3 linked regions of the Arabidopsis thaliana genome follow. The protein of the gene in region 1 interacts with the protein of each later gene in a pairwise test. Each region holds a gene or a part of one and is shown in the gene's direction. Other genes may lie near its edges.

Evidence for each region.
Region 2: the proteins of GR (region 1) and TOC64-V interact in a two-hybrid assay, tested with the Arabidopsis thaliana proteins (one study listed by BioGRID).
Region 3: the proteins of GR (region 1) and AT2G19080 interact in a two-hybrid assay, tested with the Arabidopsis thaliana proteins (one study listed by BioGRID).

The regions. Positions count from the first base shown.
Region 1 is NC_003074.8:20,229,056-20,234,942, reverse strand, and holds GR (glutathione reductase), read left to right. Parts: upstream 1-1,731; 5' UTR 1,732-1,842; coding exon 1,843-2,243; intron 2,244-2,382; coding exon 2,383-2,608; intron 2,609-2,693; coding exon 2,694-2,972; intron 2,973-3,057; coding exon 3,058-3,234; intron 3,235-3,402; coding exon 3,403-3,456; intron 3,457-3,585; coding exon 3,586-3,734; intron 3,735-3,899; coding exon 3,900-3,963; intron 3,964-4,039; coding exon 4,040-4,210; intron 4,211-4,301; coding exon 4,302-4,436; intron 4,437-4,545; coding exon 4,546-4,587; 3' UTR 4,588-4,637; intron 4,638-4,833; 3' UTR 4,834-5,306; downstream 5,307-5,887.
Region 2 is NC_003076.8:2,926,087-2,932,551, forward strand, and holds TOC64-V (translocon at the outer membrane of chloroplasts 64-V), read left to right. Parts: upstream 1-2,086; 5' UTR 2,087-2,229; coding exon 2,230-2,471; intron 2,472-2,675; coding exon 2,676-2,828; intron 2,829-2,917; coding exon 2,918-3,042; intron 3,043-3,132; coding exon 3,133-3,258; intron 3,259-3,366; coding exon 3,367-3,549; intron 3,550-3,632; coding exon 3,633-3,777; intron 3,778-3,960; coding exon 3,961-4,129; intron 4,130-4,300; coding exon 4,301-4,438; intron 4,439-4,546; coding exon 4,547-4,747; intron 4,748-4,857; coding exon 4,858-4,985; intron 4,986-5,064; coding exon 5,065-5,116; intron 5,117-5,370; coding exon 5,371-5,440; intron 5,441-5,584; coding exon 5,585-5,664; 3' UTR 5,665-5,935; downstream 5,936-6,465. Other genes in the region: EICBP.B (ethylene induced calmodulin binding protein), read left to right, coding at 1-566, 666-1,010, 1,083-1,205; AT5G09430 (alpha/beta-Hydrolases superfamily protein), read left to right, coding at 6,076-6,465. UniProt on the Arabidopsis thaliana protein: Chaperone receptor mediating Hsp90-dependent protein targeting to mitochondria.
Region 3 is NC_003071.7:8,261,068-8,265,767, forward strand, and holds AT2G19080 (metaxin-like protein), read left to right. Parts: upstream 1-1,632; 5' UTR 1,633-1,750; coding exon 1,751-1,910; intron 1,911-2,464; coding exon 2,465-2,799; intron 2,800-2,901; coding exon 2,902-2,978; intron 2,979-3,066; coding exon 3,067-3,127; coding exon of another isoform or gene 3,128-3,205; exon of another isoform or gene 3,206-3,237; coding exon 3,238-3,382; intron 3,383-3,509; coding exon 3,510-3,679; 3' UTR 3,680-4,071; downstream 4,072-4,700. Other genes in the region: SHT (spermidine hydroxycinnamoyl transferase), read right to left, coding at 1-891; AT2G19090 (DUF630 family protein (DUF630 and DUF632)), read right to left, coding at 4,111-4,700. UniProt on the Arabidopsis thaliana protein: Involved in transport of proteins into the mitochondrion.

The DNA.
Region 1 (5,887 bases):
GCCGGAAAAAGACCACGAATGACATCCAATCTCGTCCATGCACGGATCAAACTATAAACTTGCAAGTTTTTTTTTAATAGTGTGAAAAAAACTATTATGCAGCCAATTACATTATTTTCACGATTTTCTAGTTTAATCACTCAAGTCGGTATCCCATGAGTTATAGGAATCAAGGGAAGTTGAGCTAGTTATTTCTGGTTCTTCCATGAAGATTCTCCATAGCCAAATGGTCTTTGTACAACGATTCATGGAGTTTAAAAGTCGTGGTGGATGCTCCACAAAAGTGTGGTTAAAAAGTCTTGCTAATTTATAGTTTGGGAAAAATGTCATTTAATCCTCCAACTTTTAAAAAATAGCCATTTTATACATCAACTTCGTATATGGCCGTTTAAAACATGAACTAAACGTTGATTAAATTTTAAAACATGATCTTTCGTTGACCAGGCCAAAATAGACATGCCGTTATCAGTCATTAACGGAATTTCTAACGTCCGTTATCATCCGTTAACTTTATTAGTCAAGTTTTAAATTGTGGCCATTTTAAACATCAACTTTTTATGTGGCCATTTAAAACATGAACTAAACGTTGACTACCATTTAAGACATAAAAATATCGTTGACCAGACCAAAATAGACATGTCTTTATCAGTAGAACCTAGAAACCCGTTAATAACTGTTAATCTGTCCAAAACAACGTCGTTTGAGAATAATCGAAAGAACATAAAGATTTTTCCCATATGAAATCTCCATATCAAAAAGTTTTAAGTAGAACCCAAGAACATAGTTTGATAAAGAGATAATCGCAGTGTCAGTAATTGGAAGCAAATAAAGGTATTTTCGTTTATATATTTGTTTTAAATTTGAAATTGAATCATGGAAGCAAATTGAAGACTCATTATAAGATTGTTCGTCTTGTTTGAGCGGTTGTAGAAATAGATTTGGGGAACTGGGGTTTCATTTAGAAAACAATCCTGATTTTCTTTTGATTATTCTCAAAACAAAGTCGTTTTAGGGATACTAATAGAGTCGTTAACAAGTGATAATGAATGTTATAAGTTCTTTTAATGAATGATGACAACATGTTTATTTTGGCTTGGTCAACGAATTTCTCATGTTTTAAATGGTAGTCAACGCTTAGTTCATGTTTAAAATTGCCACATATAAAGTCGATGTTTAAATTGACCACAATTTAAAACTTGACTAATAAAGTCGTTAACGGATGATAACGGACGTTAGAAGTTCCGTTAATGACTGATAACGACATGTCTATTTTGGCATGATCAACGAATAATCATGTTTTAAAAGTTAGTCAACATTTAATTCATGTTTTAAACAGCCGCATACGAAATTGATGTATAAAATGACCATTTTTTGAAAGTTAGGAGATTAATTGATATTTTTCCCTTTATAGTTTACAGGTACATACGTTGATAACACAAATCGTATAACTTTCTAACGGTACAGAAAATAGTAAACCGTACAAAAATAATAAAAAAGGGTAAGATGTAGAAGTATAAAACTAATAGTACAAATTAAAAGATTTTGGTTCCACTTGTATGTATAAGTGATTACATCAAAATGGTATTACTAAGTCATCATTTAGATTTGATGAAGTTTGTATTCGTGTCATAAACCGGGCGTAGGTGGAGTTATTGTCAGTTTGGTAGCGTTTTACGACCACACATAAAAACATGTTTATAAATTGTTAAAAAACAATAAGACATGTCATAAATCTAAATGCCACAAGTAGAATTATCGAAATAAAGCTTTTACATAAATACACACACCCAAACTAAAAAAGAAAAAAAAAAGAAAGAGAGAGAGAGAAGAAGAATCGTGGAGATGGCTTCGACCCCGAAGCTTACCAGTACAATTTCATCATCTTCTCCATCTCTTCAATTCCTCTGCAAAAAACTCCCAATCGCAATTCATCTACCATCATCTTCTTCCTCTAGCTTTCTCTCGCTTCCTAAAACCCTAACCTCTCTCTATTCTCTCCGTCCCCGTATCGCCCTACTCTCAAACCACCGCTATTACCACTCTCGCCGGTTTTCTGTTTGTGCCAGTACCGATAATGGAGCTGAATCAGACCGCCACTACGATTTTGATCTCTTCACTATCGGTGCCGGAAGCGGCGGCGTCCGCGCCTCTCGCTTCGCCACTAGCTTCGGTGCATCCGCCGCCGTTTGCGAGCTTCCTTTTTCCACTATCTCTTCCGATACTGCTGGAGGCGTTGGAGGAACGTAAGATTTCTTCCTTCTTGTGGCTTATATCGATAGCTAGTGAATTTGACTTTAGTAGTAGCTATACCAGAATTTGAAGCATTTGCTTGATGATTTATGGTTTGATTGTGTTGTCTACTCATTTTTGGTTATTTTGCAGGTGTGTATTGAGAGGATGTGTACCAAAGAAGTTACTTGTGTATGCATCCAAATACAGTCATGAGTTTGAAGACAGTCATGGATTTGGTTGGAAGTATGAGACTGAGCCTTCTCATGATTGGACTACTTTGATTGCTAACAAGAATGCTGAGTTACAGCGGTTGACTGGTATTTATAAGAATATACTGAGCAAAGCTAATGTCAAGTTGATTGAAGGTCGTGGAAAGGTATGCCGAGGCTCGGTGTTTATATAGTTCATGAGTTAACCTCTATGTATTGATTTGAGCTTGAGTATGTATTTTATATGTGTAGGTTATAGACCCACACACTGTTGATGTAGATGGGAAAATCTATACTACGAGGAATATTCTGATTGCAGTTGGTGGACGTCCTTTCATTCCTGACATTCCAGGAAAAGAGTTTGCTATTGATTCTGATGCCGCGCTTGATTTGCCTTCCAAGCCTAAGAAAATTGCAATAGTTGGTGGTGGCTACATAGCCCTGGAGTTTGCGGGGATCTTCAATGGTCTTAACTGTGAAGTTCATGTATTTATAAGGCAAAAGAAGGTGCTGAGGGGATTTGATGAAGATGTAAGTAAAAAATTGAGAATGACTTTTGCTGCTTTCATTTATCCGTCTGGATATTTTCTAATTGTAATTGTTATTCTTGTTTCAGGTCAGGGATTTCGTTGGAGAGCAGATGTCTTTAAGAGGTATTGAGTTTCACACTGAAGAATCCCCTGAAGCCATCATCAAAGCTGGAGATGGCTCGTTCTCTCTGAAGACCAGCAAGGGAACTGTTGAGGGATTTTCGCATGTTATGTTTGCAACTGGTCGCAAGCCCAACACAAAGGTATAGTGTGATTTTTATTATTTTCCAAAGGATGTTTATAAAATGAAAACTGGTAGCAAAGTTCATCCTTTAATAATTTGTCTAAGATAAACTGACCACTGCTGCCCCTTGTTTATGACTTTAATGGAATATGATTGTTCATTGATGTAATGTTGGCTGTTATAACAGAACTTAGGGTTGGAGAATGTTGGCGTTAAAATGGCGAAAAATGGAGCAATAGAGGTATGATCCAGTGTTTTACCTAGTTTTTTTGTCACTTAGGATTTCTATTATTGCATTGTGCACAGTTCTCTTGTTATACCTGGTTACTTCTTGTGATTGTGCTCCATGTTTCCACTTTTTTTTTGTAAGGTTGACGAATATTCACAGACATCTGTTCCATCCATCTGGGCTGTTGGGGATGTTACTGACCGAATCAATTTGACTCCAGTTGCTTTGATGGAGGGAGGTGCATTGGCTAAAACTTTGTTTCAAAATGAGCCAACAAAGCCTGATTATAGGTAACATAACAATCTTAACTTTTGATGTTTAAACCTTTGGGATTTTTTGGTGATTGATGAGAGTTTTTCTCTGTTTAGTCTTACATGCTGCATCAGTGATCTATAACATTTTATAACTGTTGTCTCTGATGGCTTTTATCCTTTCTGTGTTCTATAATCAACTAGAGCTGTTCCCTGCGCCGTTTTCTCCCAGCCACCTATTGGAACAGTTGGTCTAACTGAAGAGCAGGTAAGTAGGATGATTTGTCAAAAATATGGTTTATCATGCATGCCACTACATAGAAATATTAACTACGTGTTTGCAGGCCATAGAACAATATGGTGATGTGGATGTTTACACATCGAACTTTAGGCCATTAAAGGCTACCCTTTCAGGACTTCCAGACCGAGTATTTATGAAACTCATTGTCTGTGCAAACACCAATAAAGTTCTCGGTGTTCACATGTGTGGAGAAGATTCACCAGAAATCATCCAGGTTTCATTTTTTAACATGATTGGTATTCTCTGAAAAGTAATCACGGAAAACATATATGATTGAATATGAATTTTATTTTACAATTTTTCAGGGATTTGGGGTTGCAGTTAAAGCTGGTTTAACTAAGGCCGACTTTGATGCTACAGTGGGTGTTCACCCCACAGCAGCTGAGGAGTTTGTCACTATGAGGGCTCCAACCAGGAAATTCCGCAAAGACTCCTCTGAGGTTTGTTTGTGAACAGTCAAAACTTATCCATCTAGTTATTTCTCGTGGTTTTGCAACATGGGAAAATGATTGGAACTGAGTGAGATGTGTATGTCCAATTTCATTTCAGGGAAAGGCAAGTCCTGAAGCTAAAACAGCTGCTGGGGTGTAGAGAAGGTTGCAAAAAAGATTGTATTTACGGCATTGGAGCCCCCTGATAAGGTATTCATTCACCAGTTTCCGAAGTATTGGTCCTAATTCCTAAAATTAGAAAAGACATGCAATGCATTAGCTCATACCATGCTTAAGTAAGATGTCAATTAGGGCCAAAGCTTTGTTTCTGCCCACCCCGGAAAAATAGGGTAGACTAGAATTCTCCTCCATAACGGTGTTTGATATTTGACTTGCATGTTTGCAGGAGAACATTGTGTCTGTGAAGAAGAAGCTTTTCTTTTGGCAGAGAATATTTTTTCATAATGTCGTGTGAAGATATGATCGCTGTCCTGCAATACTTTTGATCGTTTGACACACGACCAAATTCCTCGAGAGAGAGAGGTTGTAACTATTCCGAAAGAGCTCTAAAACTGAAGCTTTCAGTTCTTGTGACATCATAATGAAGGCTGTATAGATATAACAGTTTCGAGTTTTATTTGGATTTGTAGTATTTTTGTTTTCTATTGTGTTGAACTTGTCTCTTTGAAGTCACCACGGGAGACCTCATATCAGCATCGTTGCGAATCAAATGAGGTTTTGAGTTTTGACAAGAAATTCAACACGATCACCAAATCCTTGAGTCATTATCATATTCAGATTTCAGAGTCTCCTACCATAATCATATTTATGGTTCGACTGTACATTATTACTGTTTAAAATTGATTTGATTTTTGAAAAGTTAAAAACTAATAGTTGACTAAAAAATTCATAAACAAATATATACTTTTTAAAGAGATACGTTTTGATTAATAACAAAAAGGAAATATATACATTAAGTATTATAATTAATATACTTATATAACTAAAAATCACTATTATAAGTAACAATATCTCTAAAACTTTGAATGGCCATTAAATTTTTCAAAAATAGATAGAAGAAAGAATTTTTTTAAAAAAGATATATCCAAGAGATTTCCAACTATGATAAAGCAAATATGTCATAATTATATTTATTGGCTTATCGCGACACGATTTCCAGATTCTTATTATTATTTTGTAGTGTAATTTGCTTTAATAACTCTTTAACTAGTAACTAATTTACTACTAATTGTTTTTAGGAAGAATCTTTTCCTTACAAAATAGTACTAATATTAGTCAACTATTTTCAGCACAGGTTAAGTACAGTGGATCCCAACGTCTACAAAAAAAAGACCACGTGACGTGATCTATTCCAAAACCAAGGACAAAACTGTCATTCACCAAGCTAGACCTCACGCTCTTTCAATTAGCTGAGCGGCTACAATTTTCATTTTTAACAT
Region 2 (6,465 bases), on another chromosome or scaffold:
TGCTTGTCTCTCTAGGTGCTGATGCTGGGGCATTAACGGATCCATCTCCAGAGCTTCCATTGGGTAAAACAGCAGCTGATTTGGCTTACGCAAATGGACACAGGGGAATTTCGGGATTTCTTGCAGAGTCTTCCTTAACTAGTTATCTTGAAAAGCTAACAGTGGACTCAAAGGAAAATAGCCCTGCCAACTCTTGTGGAGAAAAAGCTGTTCAAACAGTCTCTGAGCGAACCGCTGCTCCTATGACCTATGGCGATGTACCAGAGAAACTTTCCTTGAAGGATTCACTTACTGCTGTCCGTAATGCTACGCAAGCGGCTGATCGTCTCCATCAAGTATTCAGGATGCAATCATTCCAACGGAAACAGCTGTGTGATATTGGCGATGATGAAAAGATTGATATCTCCGACCAGTTAGCTGTTTCTTTTGCAGCTTCTAAAACTAAGAATCCAGGACAGGGTGATGTCTCTCTTAGTTGTGCTGCTACCCATATCCAGAAGAAATATCGTGGTTGGAAGAAGAGAAAAGAGTTTCTTTTAATCCGACAAAGAATCGTTAAAATTCAGGTTTGCCTTTCATTGAGTTTTTTTTTCTCCCCCTTATTTCTTTGCATAAGTCTTTTGTCTGGTTTCTCATTGCTGGAATCATATTACATTTACCTTTAGGCTCATGTGAGAGGACATCAGGTCCGGAAACAATACCGAACAGTCATCTGGTCTGTGGGATTACTCGAGAAAATCATTTTGCGTTGGAGACGCAAAGGTAATGGTTTGAGAGGGTTTAAACGCAATGCAGTCGCCAAAACCGTGGAACCGGAACCGCCTGTATCAGCTATATGTCCTAGGATCCCACAGGAAGATGAGTATGATTATCTTAAAGAGGGAAGAAAACAAACAGAGGAAAGGCTACAGAAGGCTCTGACTCGTGTTAAGTCGATGGTTCAATACCCAGAAGCACGGGATCAATACCGTAGACTCCTAACGGTTGTTGAGGGCTTCCGTGAAAATGAGGTACCCAAGACCCATAACATAATCAGTTAATCATATTTTGTTGAGCATTCTTGTGATAAATTGTTGTTGCAGGCTTCATCAAGTGCATCTATAAACAATAAAGAAGAAGAAGCAGTCAACTGTGAAGAAGACGATTTTATTGACATTGAGTCTCTTTTGAACGATGACACATTGATGATGTCTATTTCTCCTTGATTTTACTTTCTGACTCGTATTCATTTTTCCTTCTTTTACTTTCTAACTTTATTTCTTCTCTGTAAATACCATAGTTGATATTTACCGCTTAATTTATTACTTGGATTGAAATAGAATTATTCACTATTTTCTTTCGTCTTAACAATATATAACTTTTTTATTTGTTCATTTGGCTTTTCTCTGCTAATATTATATAGCCAAGTGTTGGATTACTCTGATTCATATTTGTATCCGTATTGAATATTCTTCTCTTTATTAGCTGTTTTCTGCAATTTATACATCATATTTGTTTTGGTCAAACTCATACATCAGTCATATTGTTATAGTTTAAATTTGAATGGTAGTATGATATTGAGCTAACTTTTAAAGGTTATAAATCCGGGTCGACATGCCATTTTATCTACCAAATTTGGATTGGTAAACCATTAAAGCTATAAAAAAAACTTAACTTGGATTTTCCTATAATCTGAAGATAAAATTGGATTGACGGGCAAGGCTACAGAAAATGGAAACTTAACAATAAATTATAGCAGTATATATTTTAATTTTTTCATTATTATATTGAGGTTTTTAGTGGCTTGACTAGCTTAAAATCTATTTTTCCACGAGTGGAAAAGTTCATTAAGAGAAGAAATGGCCAACAAAAGAAATTATAAACCTAAATCAATTTGTACAAGCTTATTAAAAAAAATTGAAACGAGTAATTCTAATAAATAAAGGAATTAAAATTAAAATTTCCATTTTTCTTAATTTAATTTTTTTTTTTAATTTCTTTATCGATTTCGTAAAGACAATTATTAATCAATCAAAAAGAGAAGATTCGCCTTGGGCAGACGGACTTGAGTTCACGGCTGGCCAAGTCATCACTCGTAATTAAAAGGGTTTAGACACAGTGCGCACGATAGCATCTGTGTTTGCTTCTTCCAAATCTCTCTCCTATTTTTCTTTCCCCTTTTCTCTCTTAAACCCTCCTAAAACCCTTGTCTCTCTCTCTCTCTCTCTCTCTTTCTCGTGAGATCGCGTTATGTCGAATACGCTTTCTTTGATTCAAAGCAATGCCTCGAATCCCAAAGTTTGGGTAGTGATCGGCGTGACGGTGGCCGGGATCGTGATTCTGGCGGAGACCCGGAAGCGGCGGATTAGAGCCCTTAGAGAAGAAGACTTTGGTGCTTTCTTAGATCGTTTCGAGCTTCTTCCTTTCCCTCCGCCTCCTCCTCCTGCTGCTAAACAATCTCTCTCTGGTCTTACCTTCTCCATCTCCGACGCGTATGTATCTCTCTCTCTCTCTCTCTCTCTCTCTCTCTTAAAAATCATAACCTATTTTCAAATTTGTTTTTTCCTGCTTTATATAATGATCTCGCTTATAAAGTTCAAAACTTTTGTTTGGTTTAATTGAGATTTTGACTTGCTTAGACGAAGTCATGTTGCAATGAAATGAATAAAGTTATATCGGGGTTAATGGTTTGACAGGTTCGATGTTAAGGATTATATCACAGGATTTGGTTGTCCACAATGGAAGAAGACTCATGAGGCTGCTGAGAAAACTGCTGTGGTTGTCACGACGCTCTTGAAAAATGGAGCTACTTGTGTTGGCAAGACTATAATGGATGAGCTGGGTTTTGGGTATCTCTCCACTCCTACCATTCTGCATATGAAATGACCTTTCGGTAGTTGGTTTGAAGAAAGTTTGTGTTTTGAATGTGATTTTACAGGATTATTGGAGAAAACAAGCACTATGGAACTCCTATTAATCCATTGATGCCAGATAATGTTCCTGGAGGATGTTCCAGTGGCTCAGCAGTTTCTGTTGGGGCTGAACTCGTTGACTTTTCACTTGGTATTGTTAATCTCTTCGTTTTCTCTTGGTAATGTGTTTCTTGGATTACGTTTGGTTCTTTATGCTAATCAAAAGATGCTTGATTTGCAGGGATTGATACCACTGGTGGTGTTAGAGTCCCAGCAGCCTTTTGTGGTATTCTTGGTTTTCGACCATCTCAGGGGACTGTTTCTTCAGTTGGAGTTTTGCCCAATTCTCAGAGCCTAGAGACTGTTGGTACGTTACATTCCCCTCCCTTTTAGTGTTTTTAGTGTAGTTTCAATGGTACATGCTACTCTAGGTGTTTGCCTTCCTGATTATTGAACTCATTGATTCGTTCTGTAGGATGGTTTGCCTCTGATCCATCCGTTTTGTGTCAAGTTGGACATGCCTTACTAAATCTGAGTGCAGTAACACATAGAAGGCAAAGATCTTTAATCTTTGCTGATGATTTATTCGAGCTCTCTGACATTCCTAAGCAAAAGTCGGTGCAAGTTGTCAGAAAGGCAATCGAGAATCTATCTGGCTGTAAGTTTGCAGCTGTATTGTTTCCTTCTCTTTGCCCTTCTCCAGATTCATATCTTATGTCTCTTGACCACTGGCTCATGCAGACAAGACTCCAAAACATGTTAACGTTGGCCAATATGTCGCTTCAAATGTACCAAGTCTTGCGGAATTCTGTGAGCAATCTGGGAAATCCCAAAATTCAGCATCAACTTTAAGGGCTCTTTCATCTGTGATGTTGGCTATACAAAGGTATTTAAGAAGCTCACACTTCTTGAAATTTTCACTGCATCAATACTTTTTTCTCTCTCTCGTTCCTTTTAAACGGGTGCAATAAAAGATTGTTGTTATTCCCTCTTTGCTGGAGGTTACTATTTTCTTCTTAAGTTGTATTATATGCAAATATCGAAGAAGAAAGGATTTTCTTTTTACCAGGCATGAGTTCAAAACAAATCATGAAGAATGGTGGCAAACATGCAAATCGTTTCTAGGGCCAAGATTTTCCAATGATGTTGTTACAGCTCTGAAGAGCAAAAACGAGAGCATTAAATCCCTCTACAGAGTGAAAAATGAGATGCGGGCCACCATTCAAAGCCTTTTAAAGGTAAACTCGATTTTTGGAAATTTAAAATTTTCACAGCCATTAGTGTCTTGAGGACATTTTGCCACCAAAACACTGAAGTCTGAAGAGATTGAATTATTAACTTTCATTTTTGCGGCTTCTTTTTAGTTCTATGGTATTATGATTAACCATAGATCGGTATCTTATTACTAGGAAGATGGAATTCTGGTAATCCCCACAGTTGCTGATCCCCCTCCAAGGCTTAACACAAAGAGAAATAAATCTTTGAATGAGTTTCTTGATCGTACTTATGCACTCTCCTGCATTGCAAGCATGTCTGGATGTTGTCAGGTATATTTCCATCTCCTCTTTCTCATTCAATGGTTGGGGAACATTCTTGTTGCCTTTTCCTTACTCTTCAGTCTTTAGTCATGACACAAATATATACATATTCTTCAGGTTACAATTCCTTTAGGGGAACATGGTGATCGTCCAATATCCGTGTCGCTTCTTACTTACTATGGAGGTGATAAGTTCCTTCTCGATACAACTCTCGATGTATATGCATCCCTTCAAGACCAAGCCAAACTTGCATCCAACTTAGCTCCAGTGTCTGACACCAATGGTAACATGGAGGCTTCTGAAGTTATGAAAGAAAAGGTAAAACTATCTCTTTGAGTTTGACAAATAGTATATTTGGTTCTGATCCATGATATGCTACTGGAGTTGGAATGTTCTCAAAGTTAACAGTGGATAAAATGTAATTCCAGGGCAATGCTGCATACAAGGGGAAACAATGGAATAAGGCGGTAAACTTTTATACAGAAGCTATAAAATTGAATGGAGCAAATGCTACTTATTATTGCAATAGAGCTGCAGCTTTCTTGGAACTTTGCTGGTAATTGTTCTCTTCATATCTTTCATTCTGATCTGAATATAATTTATTATGATTTTCTGATCTGAGAGTTTGTTTATAGCTTCCAACAAGCCGAACAAGATTGTACCAAGGCCATGTTGATCGATAAGAAGGTGAAAACTTGATTAGCTGCCTTATTTCTCCATCCCTCGTAGTTTGTTTTGTTACATTGTGTTTTTAACATGGTTTTGTGTTTAAGTACACTTGAGCTGGAACAAAACTATTCACTTTTTATTTATTTGATTTGCGGCGTAATACCTTTGTACTATGACTATCTAGTTTCATTATCACTCAGATCACTCACTATAGACACAATGACGCATTATTTGGAAGCTTTGATTCTTATAATAGTTATTTGTTTCTACAGAATGTGAAGGCATATTTGAGACGAGGGACTGCTAGAGAATCACTTGTACGGTACAAGGAAGCTGCTGCAGGTATGATGATTAAACTACTCTGAGATTGTAATTTTATCACATTGGAGAAACTTGTTAAAAGATAAAATTCATCTAGCTATCCAGATGAGTTACTCTCTCTAGTAGGGTATTGGAGCGTAACATTATGGTTGATCATCTCTGCAGATTTCAGGCACGCATTGGTCCTTGAACCACAGAACAAGACGGCAAAGGTTGCTGAGAAGAGACTCCGAAAACACATATGAGTTAAAAAGGATTATTACTCGATTTCTCTTGTTCACCAATCTATCTTTTCACTTATCTAAAACCCTAAAAAGGAAAGGTTTTGCTCCGGTTTCAACAGACTAATAATTTAGTGGTTTTGTGACATGTGTACAGATTGGGATGAAAACTTCTACCTCTAATTACTTGATCTGAAAAGTTTTATGGGGTCCTTTTAGCTTCTTTGTTTTCTTAACGGTCTTTTACGTAAATTACAATTTCCCCCAAGTCCAATACTGTAATTCCTTAAATTACACGGAGGGACCCATAAATGACACGTTTACAATCAATTTCTCGACAAATAACTGAATTCGTTGTTTGTTTTTTTCCTCTTCGTCATCGTCACGCCTCCGTATCTTCTCCTCTGTTTCATTTTTGAATTATTCGAATCAAAAATGTTTGATCATATGAAACTGCTGCGATGCTTCAGCTTCACGGCGTCGCGAGATTGGTTATTCCGGCAATCATTCGCAAACGCCGGTCTACGTTCCGTAACGACAGATCTCTCCCACGGCAATTCAATCGCATCAACAGCTATGCATTGTTGGATTCCTAAATCCCCGAATCGATCTAAACCTAATCTCCTCCTCCTCCACGGATTCGGCGCCAACGCAATGTGGCAATACGGAGAACATCTCCGAGCTTTCACCGGCCGATTCAACGTCTACGTTCCCGATCTCCTCTTCTTCGGGTTATCATCCACATCGGAACCAAACCGAACCGAATCTTTCCAGGCTCGGTGTCTGATGAGGTTAATGGAAGCGCACGGAGTCCAGAGGATGAAC
Region 3 (4,700 bases), on another chromosome or scaffold:
ACTACGAGTATCTATACAGATTCCTAGAGCCGTTGGTTGCTCCGGAGAGTGGCCACGTGCTTTACACGCGCACCTCCACACGTGTCCGGTGACGGTCTCGTACCTTGTAAACCCTTTCGCCGGGTCAGAGTGTTTGCTTCCGTTGGCTTTACTTCGTAGCTTCTGCAGCTGAGATGTGCTCAGTGGTAGCATCACCACAATCGTTTTCTTCTTTCTCTCTTCTACATTGTCCGTTTCTCCGATCAAAAACGGTGGCTGATCAAACTCTTTGTGGTCGAACTTTGGGGGCGACACAAACGGTGGGAGCGGTTCACCAGCCCAGAGGATTTTCCGGTCTAGAAATGGAACGGTTTCTAACGGTTCACCGCGCGCGAGTCTTCCCCATTCCGATATTAAGTGAAGCGCGCTTTGGCCATCTACGATCGCGTGGGAAACGTTGACGCTAAGGCTTATTCCACCGCATTTGAATTTGGTTACCTGAGCTAAAAATAGAGGAATCGTTTCGATAGGGTTTTTATAGTTTACTTGCGGCATAAGATTCTCGAATTCCGGCGTAGGAGAGAAGTCTTTGAAATCCGAAAGCTTCCCCTCAGATTCCGCTTCAATGAATTCCACTCCCTCGGCGTTACAATTGAGCTCGAACCGTCCCCGAGGGAGCCATCTGAGACGGCCAGCCATAGGGTAAAAATGGACTAGCACACGGCTCAACGAGGTTTTTAGGATTTCGACTACATTGCCTTGGAAAGATTCAGATGGCTTGTCGTAAAAGTAAAGGGTGGGAATGTGAGTAATTGTACCAACTTGATCCCACTCGGCTAAGGGAAACCTACCGCTCCACGTTGGTTCGGCCGGTACTATAGTGTAAGATTTTCTAAAAGTTATGGGAGCCATAACACAAACCCCCTTTCTTTTTCTCTTCTCTTTTTGAAGTTCGTGCTAAAGTAATGTTTATATAGTACACAGAATCATATGGATTCAACGAATTTTTCTTGCTGTTAGTCAAAATTCAAAAATGTTTTTCTCGTGGTTTAGTTTGTTTCCTTCGAAGCAGCTTAATTAGTGGAAGTGAGAATAAGGTTTAGTTTTGTTGGTTGTATATGATCACGCGTATTACCCTTCTTCTCTATTTTGTTCACATTGTGGATGAATATATATTTCCACGAAAAAATGAAAAAAAACGAGGTAAGAACATATAACATAAAATTCATATCACTATTAGGGAATGTGTTATACTTTTTTATGCAAGTATATTCCAAAGTATAAATTCTAAACTAAATCCTTAAGTATATATCATAAACTCTAAAAAGAAATGGTAAATCCAAAATACTAACTTCATAGCATTAAATTCAAAAGCCCACATCGCCAGTTTTGATTATATCTTCTGAATTTAAGTTGAGTTTATTTTTATAAAGTCATCTTGAAGAAAAAAAATGTGGATGATGTATTTTACACTGTTACACAGTAATTTTAGTTTTTACAAACTAACAAAAAGGAGAAAACAATTCCACTTTCTCCGAGTCTCCTCCTCCAGTAGTTTTGTCTTAATGGGTAATTTGTGGGCCTTTTAAAGCCCAAAATGAGTTATCGTATTAATAAACCCTAGTTTTAAACCCGACCGACTAAACCTTAACCCAGACCCGGACTCGACTGGATCTTCTCTTCTCGCCCCATCTCTCTCTATCGACGATCGAACTTACTTGAGTACTTCTTCTTCTTTTGACCAGAGCTCTCACACATACGAGTCACTATAATGGAAGGCGATCAAGAGACGAATGTTTATACTTTGGTGGCAAGGAAGCCTTCCTTCGATCTCCCAACAGCTTGCCCTAATTGTCTTCCTGCTTATATATACCTGAAATTAGCCCAGCTACCTTTTGAACTTGCGTTCAATTCAACCTTCCCTGATTCAGGTTTGCTTCTGTTTTGATTCCTCGCTTCGTATTTTGGTTGTTGTTAGATTAAGGTTTTGGTTGCGTGATGTGTATCTGTTGGAAGTGAACATTGTTAATTCTATTAGCTTGAATTGAGATTCGAATCCTAGACAAGATAATTTTGAGTTCTGGATTCGAATTCGTACTATTAAGATCCTGCTCTTAGGTTAATCAGAGTTTAGATAGGGTTTTTAGGCAATAGTAATTCAATTTTGAGGTGTATATATGCATTGGTGAATTTTTCTGGATAGGAAGTGTTCATCATAATTTCTTGTTATAGCTTTGGTTGAATTCCTCGTTATCGTAATTGTTAATTCGAAGAGAATGATGATGTTTCATACTTGTTCAGAAGAAATTAGTTGTTTGATTTAGCTATTGAGTTTGTATATTAACAATATCTTCAGAATTTCTATGTTATGTTTGATAATATCTCTAGACACTTCGTAATCCTTTGTTCACGGATTTACAAATTTGTGCATTCAATATTTATAAGCTTGTGTATTGACAATGTTAATCATTTGTTTTTAATATAGATGAACTGCCGTACTTTGAAAGTGATACATATGTTGCATATAACAATGAAGATGGAGGAGTAATTGAAAAACTGAAGAAAGATGGGATTGTTAATCTGGACTCTCAGCTACAGTCTCTTTCGGATTATTTATCTTTGAAGGCTCTTATTGTGTCTTGGCTAGAAGAAGCGCTTACCTATGAGATATGGGTTGGTACCGAGGGGATATCTACATCGAAAATCTACTATTCAGATCTTCCTTGGGTGATCAGCAAGGTCCTGTTTTATAAGCAGACATACTTGGCAAAGAACCGTTTAGGAATCACCAAAGAGAACGCAGAGCAAAGAGAAAAACAGGTCGGGTTTGTTTAAGTTTTGTTGTTACTTTAGAAGACCTGTGGTTTATATTTGTGAGCATTTGAACTAGTTATTAAAGTTCATAGTCTTAAATGTGAACAGATATACAAGAGAGCAAGTGAGGCATATGAAGCTTTGTCGACTAGGTTAGGTGAGCAGAAGTTTCTCTTTGAAGACAGGTATTGCAATCACATTCCGGAACTGGATTCTTTCCCTTAAGCCTTTTTGTAAAAGATTGACAATGTTTATATTATTCTCTTCCCACAGGCCATCGAGTTTGGATGCTTTCTTACTCTCGCACATACTTTTTATAATCCAAGCGTTACCAGTGAGCAGCTTTAAATTTCACCAATATATTTCTCAGTTATGGGTTTATCAGGTTGAATTTAGCCTTAGAACTATTTAGATGAAGTAGTTTTCTTAATGGTGCATGATCAGGTTACATCAGTGCTTCGGTGCAAACTTCTGGAACATAGTAATCTTGTGCGATATGCTGAGAAACTTAAGTCAGAGTTCCTTGAAGCCTCTTCTTCATCTCCTTCACCTCCACTTCACTCATTCCCTTCCTCATTTCCAAGAAAGAGTAAGACACATCTAACCTTCAACGTCCATATCATATATATTTCATCATATTATATATCTGTCATATATGCAACATTCATTGGATATGTTTAAGCCTGTGAAGGAAGTGAATTTCATCTTTTGTTCAGGTTCGAAGCCAAAGAGCAAACCAAAGGTAGAAAAGACCGAAGAGGAGAAAAAATTTAAGAAAAGAGCAAGGTTCTTTCTAGCTGCTCAGTTTCTAGCTGTCGTCATTTACGTATCAGTGATGGGAGGAGGTAGTTCTGATGAACTGGAGTATGAAGATGAAGATGACTAAACTAAAGCTTTTCTTATTAAATGGACCGGTAACTCTCAGGCGAACTCTCTGAGACTAAGATAAAAACATAACCAGTAATCTCTACGCTTTTTTCTTCTTGAACTCTTAGTTATGGAGAGGATACAGATGTGAGATTTAGTCACATTATAATGGTTTTCGACTTTTCGTTCTGAAGGAGAGCTTTTGGCTTTTATATAAATTTCATTGGTTTTTAAGGCACATCATGGGAACCGATTCACCGGATAAAATACCGAGGAACATTAGAAGACTCTTGGTACACATCCTCAGAATCAACTGAACTAACTCTATTTGTCTTACTAAATAATACAAATCTCATCCATCTAAGAAACTATCTTCTGATAGCAAAAGATGATGCCAAAAACCTACCTAATTCTAAACTCTCTAAAACCAAACAAAATTAATAACAAGTACTAGGAATTGAAATTTACATCCGGGGGCTGCTGCTCCGACGCATCGTCTGCTGGTTGGCTAACAAGCTTCGAGTGTTCATCGGCCGAGTTGATGGAAAACTCAGCTAGTGAACTAACTGCAACAGACATTCCATGGCAGAGAACCTTCACAGCAACCTCTGCAAGTTTCTCAGCAGTCATCACAACATCTTCTTCTCCCTTATCAGCCACTACAAGCTCCATGCTTTCTGACCCGGAGTATCTCCTTGACCCGCTTCCACTCCAGTTTGGATCTTCCCTAACTTGCCTTGCATATATTGAACCCATCCCTGAGGCAAAGAACTCAAGTTTGTCCAAAACTGGTTTTTCATTCAAGCTGTTAAGCAACCTTGACCATTGAATGCAGACTCGGTATATCGGGTGAAGACATGAGGATAATCTAACTTTTTCGGGGTCAGGATCACATCTGAAACATCTTAGAAGCCAACCAGATAATGCTTTCATGTAGGATCTCTGAGAGGTGATCCAGAATTCAAAACAGGTTCTCCAGTTTCGAAGCTGAGCTTCAAGATTCAAAGCAGATTGAGCTAATCTTTGAGAGTTAATAGCCT